2 linked regions of the Schizosaccharomyces pombe genome follow. The protein of the gene in region 1 purifies or fractionates together with the protein of each later gene. This does not show direct contact. Each region holds a gene or a part of one and is shown on either strand. Other genes may lie near its edges.

Region 1 (3,862 bases):
CATCAATAAGAAGGGGTTCAATAACTACGAGAATTTTATGAGTAAAAGGGCGAACCAGATCATCCAATTTGTATAATATACGATCAATAACCTTAACTAAAAGATGGCGCTCCTGATCTTCCAGTGTTCGTTCCATTAACAACGGAAGAATCTGATTAAATAAAGCAGCTGCACCAAAGTCGCGAGCTTGATCCGTAAGCTGGCGTAATGCACTCTTACGCATGGGAGGAGTACCATTTTTTACTTTCAGAAGTAATCTCAAAATTTTACGTTCACGAAGTTCCGCAATTGTAAGCTTGGCCTCGTCCTCCACCTTGAGTAACTTGCCAAAATATTTAACATCTTCTTGCTTAAAAAAAGCTAAATCACCTACACCGGGTATTTCTGTAGGCAATGCAGCTGGTAATTCTTTTTCTAAAGGAAGCTCTTGCTCTTGTGGAACGTGATATGTATCGAGCGTAGTACCTTTTTGAAGTAGTTCAGGATGAATTGATTCTAAATATCCAGGAGGAGGCTCCAAAATAGCATAGCCTTCTGACGGCAAAAGCTCATTTAACTCTTCTTCAGTTAATAAACGGACAGGAGGTCGTAATTTTTCTTCTACTACATTTACTTCCTTATTAATAAGATCTTCAGAAATTCCGTTTTCTATAACATGTTCAGATATAGTGAAGTTTTCAGGAGCTTTGTCCCAACGTGATCTACGCTTAGTAGTGGAAACCTGCGTAACGCTAGGTGGAGCCTGATCCCAACGAGAGCGTTTAGGCTTCTGAGATATTTCCGTATTATTAAGCTCTAGTTCTCTTTTTTTGTCCGATATGCTTTCCTCCTCCTCCACCTCTTTTAGTGTTCCTTCACGACGTCTTTGATTTAATTCCATATGAACTCGTCGCTCTTCCTTTTCTAATTCAACCTGCCGCATAACCTCCGCATAAGATCTTCCATTGCTCTGTGTCCCATCAGGTTGAAAAGCATCTACGCGGGTTGGAGTAAGCTGTCTATCATAACGCTGCTTTTGATAATCTGACTCGCGATCCTGAATTTGCTTTTTTGACTGTCTCTCTTGCATAGGGTCATAACTTTCATCAGCGTATTCATTTAGTAGTTCCTTAGGTGCTTCATATTGACGCACTAAACGATAACTATCATTAACATCGTTTGTACGTTTATAATCGTCTTCATCCTGAGAGATATCATTGCGCACGTCAATTGCGGAGTCATATTCTTCTTTTGGGTTACTGGACTTAAAAAGATGAGCATTATATTGTAAATCATTAGAATCCTGGGTACCTTCAATATTTACACTTCCATTTGTCGACGAATTCTTCGCTGCCTCTTTTTGTCTTCGCAAAAGTTCTCTTTCAGCACGAAGCCTTTCTATTTCCACATCTTCTACTTTATTTAGGTTAGTAACATCCATTTTGAACATTTTATAAGGATACGTACCAGTTGACATGTTGATGGCGAAGAAATGCTTTCATGTTGCGCGTCTTATACTCATTTAAATATACTCAAAGCATTCTAAGCTTCGTTATCAATATTTTAAAGTACAATACAGTAACTCGTTTTGTAGAATAACGATAAGATTAACGTGTCTTATTTAGTTTAACCCTCTTTATTAAGATTTATTTGCGAAAGAAATATATACTATCGAAAAAATTAGTATGAGGAATGATATTGAAATATCGAGGTATCATATTGCAACAGCTCAAGCTTTTAGCACCCCCCCCCTCTGCTATTGTAGATCTTGTAAGCGTTGCTGCAATTAATTGATAATAGACAAGCGTCTTACGGTTTCTACTTGTATATCCTAATATTTGGTGGAACCTTTACAAATTGATGTAAAATCTCTTTGGAAAAATTCAGCACTATATCGCTTTAATGTGAAGTTTGGCTTATAAGGAATGTAATTAACGATGATGGTTGCTAGGACACGCAGTCAAAAAAGAAAGCTTGAAGAGATTAATAACCAGAAGAAGATTAAAACAAAAAAAAAGGCCACCGGGCAACAGACTTCTAATACGAAAAATCTGCGTGATGTTAAAAAGAAAGGTAAACAATTAGCGTATGTTCCGAGGACGTCACCAAGGAAATCATATAAAAATGGGGAATATGTTTTAGCAAAGATGAGTAGCTTCCCATGGTGGCCAGCCAGAGTAGCGAGCCAAAAATCAATACCCACTGAGGTACGCGAACGATTGAAACGAAATTTTCGAATGGACAATGGAATATTTGTTCAGTTTCTTCCTTCAAGAGATTACGCTATTATTTCTTCTTCAAATGTTTTGCCCTTAACTGTTGATGAATCAAGGTTTATTTTGGACCATGATTTATCGACAAAGTATATCCAAAAGACGGTAGGTCTCATCATTGCTTCCGTAAAGAGAAAAGTTTCTTTTTCTGATGTCGAAGAGGATGAGTTTGAACCAGAGAATACTCGTAAAAAACTTCAAAAGCCCATCGAGAAACCAAAAAAGGAAAAGATAGAAGCCACACCTAAAATTGACGGGGGTAAAAGGTTAAAAAATGAGAAATCGTCGGCAGAAATTTCTCAAACATCGAAGCAACGACCTTCACGTAGGTCAGCTCGAGTTAGGATGGCTACAGACAACGCTCAGAAATCCCCATCTCCAATTCCTTCTCCCAAGAAAACAGCCAAAAAAAGAGTAAGGTTTGCCGGTTCTTTAGAGGAATTACCAAAATTTTCACTTGAATATCAATTGGCTCAGCCTATAAGTACTGTAGATATGTATGCTCAAGTTCATTATATTCGATTTAATACTCTTTTATATTACCGCTACCAACTACAAGAAATCCTACTGTCATATAATCATTATCCTCAAGAATCGGATATGTCTCATGTGCACCAAATATTGGAGATGATTGAGAATTTCAGCGCAATAAATTCTGAACTATTAGAATCAACCAAGTTGTATTCACTTTTTACTTTGCTTGTTAAATTAAGCGACATACCGTTGGATGAAAAATATGACTTTTCTTCACGATTTTCGACTCTTCTCCTTCAATTCCAAGCATTCGTTCAGCCCAAAACCATGACAAGTAATGTATCTACAGCGCCCATTGGAAAGAATGCTCAAGTGAACACAGAAGCTGCCAGACCATCTGTCATCACTACCTAACTTTTGATCATACATTCATATGCTTTTGTTATCGAATTACATAACTAATCTTGTTTACATTTAATGTTACGATAATATTTGCTTCCAACATTTTCATTAATATAGAACGCATTATTAGCGCGACTCAATGTGTTTATGGTACAAATCGTTACAATACGTTATCCTAGTATGTAAGCAAGAACAAGCATTGCTTACTACCATTTCGTAGTAGGTACCGTCAGTGTTTTTTTTTTTTACTTGCGATATCTCGTGTATACTAATTTAAAAAAAATGTCTTTCTTTGCTCCAAGGAATAAGAAAACGGAGCAGGAAGCAAAGAAATCAATACCTTGGGTTGAGCTTTAGTATGTAAATAGAGAATACTTTTTAAGAACAATAACATTAACACGTATGTAGTCGTCCCAAGACATTGGACCAAGTTTCCTCTCAAGAATCTACTGTACAAGTATTAAAAAAAACACTTTTATCTAATAACTTACCTCACATGTTGTTTTATGGCTCTCCTGGTACTGGAAAGACGTCAACCATTCTAGCTTTGTCTCGTGAGCTATTTGGACCGCAATTGATGAAATCAAGGGTTTTGGAATTGAATGCTTCTGATGAACGCGGTATCTCTATTATTCGGGAGAAAGTCAAGTCTTTTGCAAAAACAACCGTAACCAACAAAGTCGACGGTTATCCTTGTCCTCCTTTTAAAATTATAATTTTGGATGAGGCAGATT
Region 2 (3,907 bases), on another chromosome or scaffold:
GTCAAATTGGTCGGTTTCAGTACGTGGGTAAGAAACAAACCCATTAGTATATAAGTTTTCGGCGAGCTGATGAAAATGATGTTAAAGTTGCAAATTCACTTATAATCAAATCGTACCTCTAAAGTTTTCTTAGCAGAAATTCTTAGATGTTTTGGCCCCAGTTTTGTAAGTTCTACAGTTGATAATGGCAGAGGTTTATACTTGGTTTTTGGTTTTTGAGTTATGTTAACGACCTTAGCAGTTTTGCATTCTAAACAGTTTTCCAAGATGATCATTGTAGTTAATCTGTCAAAAACTTTGGCCCTTTCCCAATTGAACTGAATAGTCTTACCCTGTCTTTTATCAACAAATCGAAGGTGCCAGTAGGTTTCAGGCACAAAGTCTTCTACTCGCTGCCACCGATCAACTACAAAGCCTAATGTAGGGAATTGGCAGGGACCATAACTTATTATTTTATTCTGAAGAATATCGAATGATTTTTGTAATTGAATAGTTTGTAGCCGAGTGAATATTGCACCTAAACGAAAATCAAGTTCAATTCTAGCATCCACAGCATCTGCAGCATTTTTTGAAACATCTCTTGGACGTTTCGCGGCACTGATAATATGTCTGAAAATTAGTTAGCATTTATCTTGAAGGGTTTTTTCTGTAATAAATAAATATCTGCTTTTTAAAACGCTAAGATGTTTATAACTTACGACCGTTCCAAATTATTGAAGTCTGCTCGGATAACCTGAATAGATGGATTGCTGGCTCTAGCTACATTGGAGATTTCCACCCCAATGTGTTCACCCTCACGATCACAATCGGTCCAAATATAAAGGTACTGGGCATTTCTAGCTTCTTTTTTAATATTGTCTGCTAGTACTTCTGCATTCTTTGATACTGAGGTGATGATTTGAGCATCGAATAAAACGTCTTGAGGGACAGAGCTCCAACTAGAATATTCAGAAGGAAAAGAAGCTTCTGTTAAGTGACCGGATACAGAAGTCATTGTAACATCAGAAGATCCAACATTGCCTCCAAAATTAAATGAGAAGTCGTAATTTTTTACATACTTACTTCGTGTATCTCTCTTAAGAGATTAGTAAATTTCAGAAAAGATTAAATTTTTTAACAAACCCTTCTCACGTGTCCACCCCCTAGAATGCTTGCTACCGATTTGGCAATCGAGTTTTTTTCAGCAACACATAGGACGCGCATTTCTTTTAAGAGATGACATTTATTACTTGGATATTGCACACCTTCTAATTATATCTCCCTTTTTTAAAAATGACTGCAGTGTAAAATTCGCGTGTAAGGTGTTAAGGTCGAGATGGCTTTATTGTTTATGCTAACAAATGTTGGTATAATGAAAGGTAGTAAATCGAGGACCAGAAAGTTCATTAAAAAAAATCAAACACCATACCAGTAGTTAATTATACTAGAGAATTAAGAAGAACCTCTTTAGATAAGTAATTATATAATTTTGATGTATGTTGCATTGAAGAAGTCCATGTAATAACTATTTCTTAAGCTTTCATAGTCAGGACGGTTTAATGAATAGATGCGCCGAATGTATAACAAAATTTAAAATTAATATTTTGTTTGTAAAAAAAAGTTAGAAATTTAGATATTTTTTGATTTTTGAACCCATCATTCGCATTGTAAACTACATATTTATTTCTATAGAGCATGGTAAATTGATGTAAGTTCCTTAATTAATTGAAATTAAAATAAATAGATAAATGAAAGTTCTCTTATTGACTCAAACCGGGATTGATAATATTTTAATTTGTTTTTATATTTATATTTTCTCATCTTTTAAATGCAAAATAATTATCGATAGCTAAAAAAGAAAAAGAAAAATCATGCACTATCGATAGAGTGAAGGGACTGTGCAGAGGATTTTTTTTGTTTTTTTAAAACAAAGCGACCTTGTCTAGAAGGCAAGTTTTTGTTTCACAGCTTCTCTCGTAAATCTCAATTAACTACTTTGATTCCATACAATTGGTAACATGTTACTTTCCTCACCACTGTAGTAGACAAGTGCGAACCTGAGATAACTGATGAAGCAGTAGTAAGCATTCTTCCACGAGGTTTCTACTTTTTTTAATATAGTCTGAGGTTTATTATTCTGAAATATAAAACACAAAAAATCCATGTTCGATTAAAGCGATTGAATTTGGGAAGTTTAGGAGGTGCGATTAACCAAAAATTTGAAATTTAATTTCTTTTTCATCTTTTCATTTTGTTTTGTTTATAACAAGTTTTTGCACTTTGGCTTCCACAATATTGACCTTTTTTAATGGATGAGATACAGGAGTCATCGTGTAATGAAAAATTGAGTGACGAAGACCTTGCAGCCGAGTTTGTTGAATTTACCGATAATATTCCAATCGAGATTTATCGTTCTTTACGTTATATAAGAAAATACGAGAATTTTTTTGCAAAAGAAAATGAAAATTTAAATACCGCTGCCAGGTTGGTGTGTGATTGTCCCATTTCAGAGGTCCCAAGTGCTAAGCAAAAATTGGCAGATTCTCTGTTTACATCGCATGAGTATTTACGACAAACAAGTGCAGAAGCAAACAAGTTATATGAAAACGTTTTGGCCTCTTATAAGCACTTGTGTGAAAAAATAAAATATCTAGAAGCAGATAATCCGCTTTATGTTCCAGCACCATGATTTCATTTTATTTTTTATTTTTTTGATAACCAGTTTCCCTTTCATAATAATATTTTAATTTTTTTTTTGCTGCACTTTAATGTTGGCAGTGCGATCCGTGCGTATTCTGTTTACTTTGATATGAGAATTCTACCCATTTACGGTTGATGGATAAAAGTGCCTGGCGATGATGTTTAACCTGTTAGCGACAATTTCTATAGCTTTTCTCCTTTTTTTTCGTATATAACTATGATAAGAGATTTTTAATTTAGGATTATAAGAGTCATATTATTTATTATCAATTGCCAGTTTAAATACTGAAACGCTAATATTGAACATTACTCAATTCTGAAAAGTTGCATTGCCAGTTTTCATTACTCCCCAAGGTTTATTTCTCCTTTCTTTTTTTATTATACTTTCTTCTGAATTTTAGAATTGATAACAAAAAACTTTGCTAATATACAAGTAAGGCAAACGATTTCAATGTTTGGACATTGCTCGGACAACTAAGTGTTCTTAATACATTAAACGCACTTCGGTTGTGTGTCAAACAACAGTGTTTTTACCTTTATGTATTACCTGAAAATGTGTCTATATTTATTCTCTTCAAAGATACAATTAAACGAATATACCAAAAACACTTATTACTAAATACAAGTACAATACCATACACTCAGTGTCAAATCAAATATCTTAAACCGAATTTATTTTTATCAGGAATTAAGTGGAACCAACTAAAGCACCTAGTAAGCAACAGCAGTCTCTTGTTCAGCAACAACCTCTTGGCCAGCAGCAGCAGCGGCCTCAACGGGTTGGTTGATAACAGTATAAGGCTTAGTAATAGGCTCCTCCTCCTTGGGGTCCAAAACGACAACAATATCGGGAAGAGACTTCTTTTGACGGGTCTTGGGCTCAGGCAACATAATTTTAACCTTAACACCAAGAACACCTTGACGAAGGAGAACGTGGCGAGTAGCAGAGTCAATGAAATCAACAGCAGGTTGACCAGAGTGGATCATGAAACCGTCGGCAAATTTCATGGACTTGGCACGAGCAGCACGGAGCTTACCGGAGATGACAACCTCACAACCCTTGGCACCAGCCTCCATAACATAACGAAGGACACCATAGGCGGCACGACGAACAGCCAAACCAGCCAAAAGCTTGTAGCGAAGGGATTCACATTGGGCAACAGCGCAGAGACCACGGTTTTGAACCTTCTCGGCATACAGCTCAACAGTGTTCTCAGCAAACTTAAAA

The links.
Region 2: the proteins of pdp3 (region 1) and ptf2 purify together in Schizosaccharomyces pombe (affinity purification with western blotting; one study listed by BioGRID). This does not show direct contact.

Annotation. Positions count from the first base shown.
Region 1 is NC_003424.3:4,335,332-4,339,193, forward strand, and holds pdp3 (PWWP domain-containing protein), read left to right. Parts: upstream 1-1,749; 5' UTR 1,750-1,916; coding exon 1,917-3,140; downstream 3,141-3,862. Other genes in the region: prp10 (U2 snRNP-associated protein SF3B1), read right to left, coding at 1-1,224, 1,291-1,395, 1,447-1,456; DNA replication factor C complex subunit Rfc2, read left to right, coding at 3,411-3,484, 3,537-3,862. UniProt on the Schizosaccharomyces pombe protein: Component of the mst2 complex which is a highly specific H3 lysine 14 (H3K14) acetyltransferase that functions together with gcn5 to regulate global levels of H3K14 acetylation (H3K14ac), critical for DNA damage checkpoint activation.
Region 2 is NC_003423.3:4,234,935-4,238,841, forward strand, and holds ptf2 (protein ptf2), read left to right. Parts: upstream 1-2,055; 5' UTR 2,056-2,287; coding exon 2,288-2,668; 3' UTR 2,669-3,390; downstream 3,391-3,907. Other genes in the region: top3 (DNA topoisomerase III), read right to left, coding at 1-66, 117-609, 699-1,075, 1,123-1,203; rps3 (40S ribosomal protein uS3), read right to left, coding at 3,391-3,907.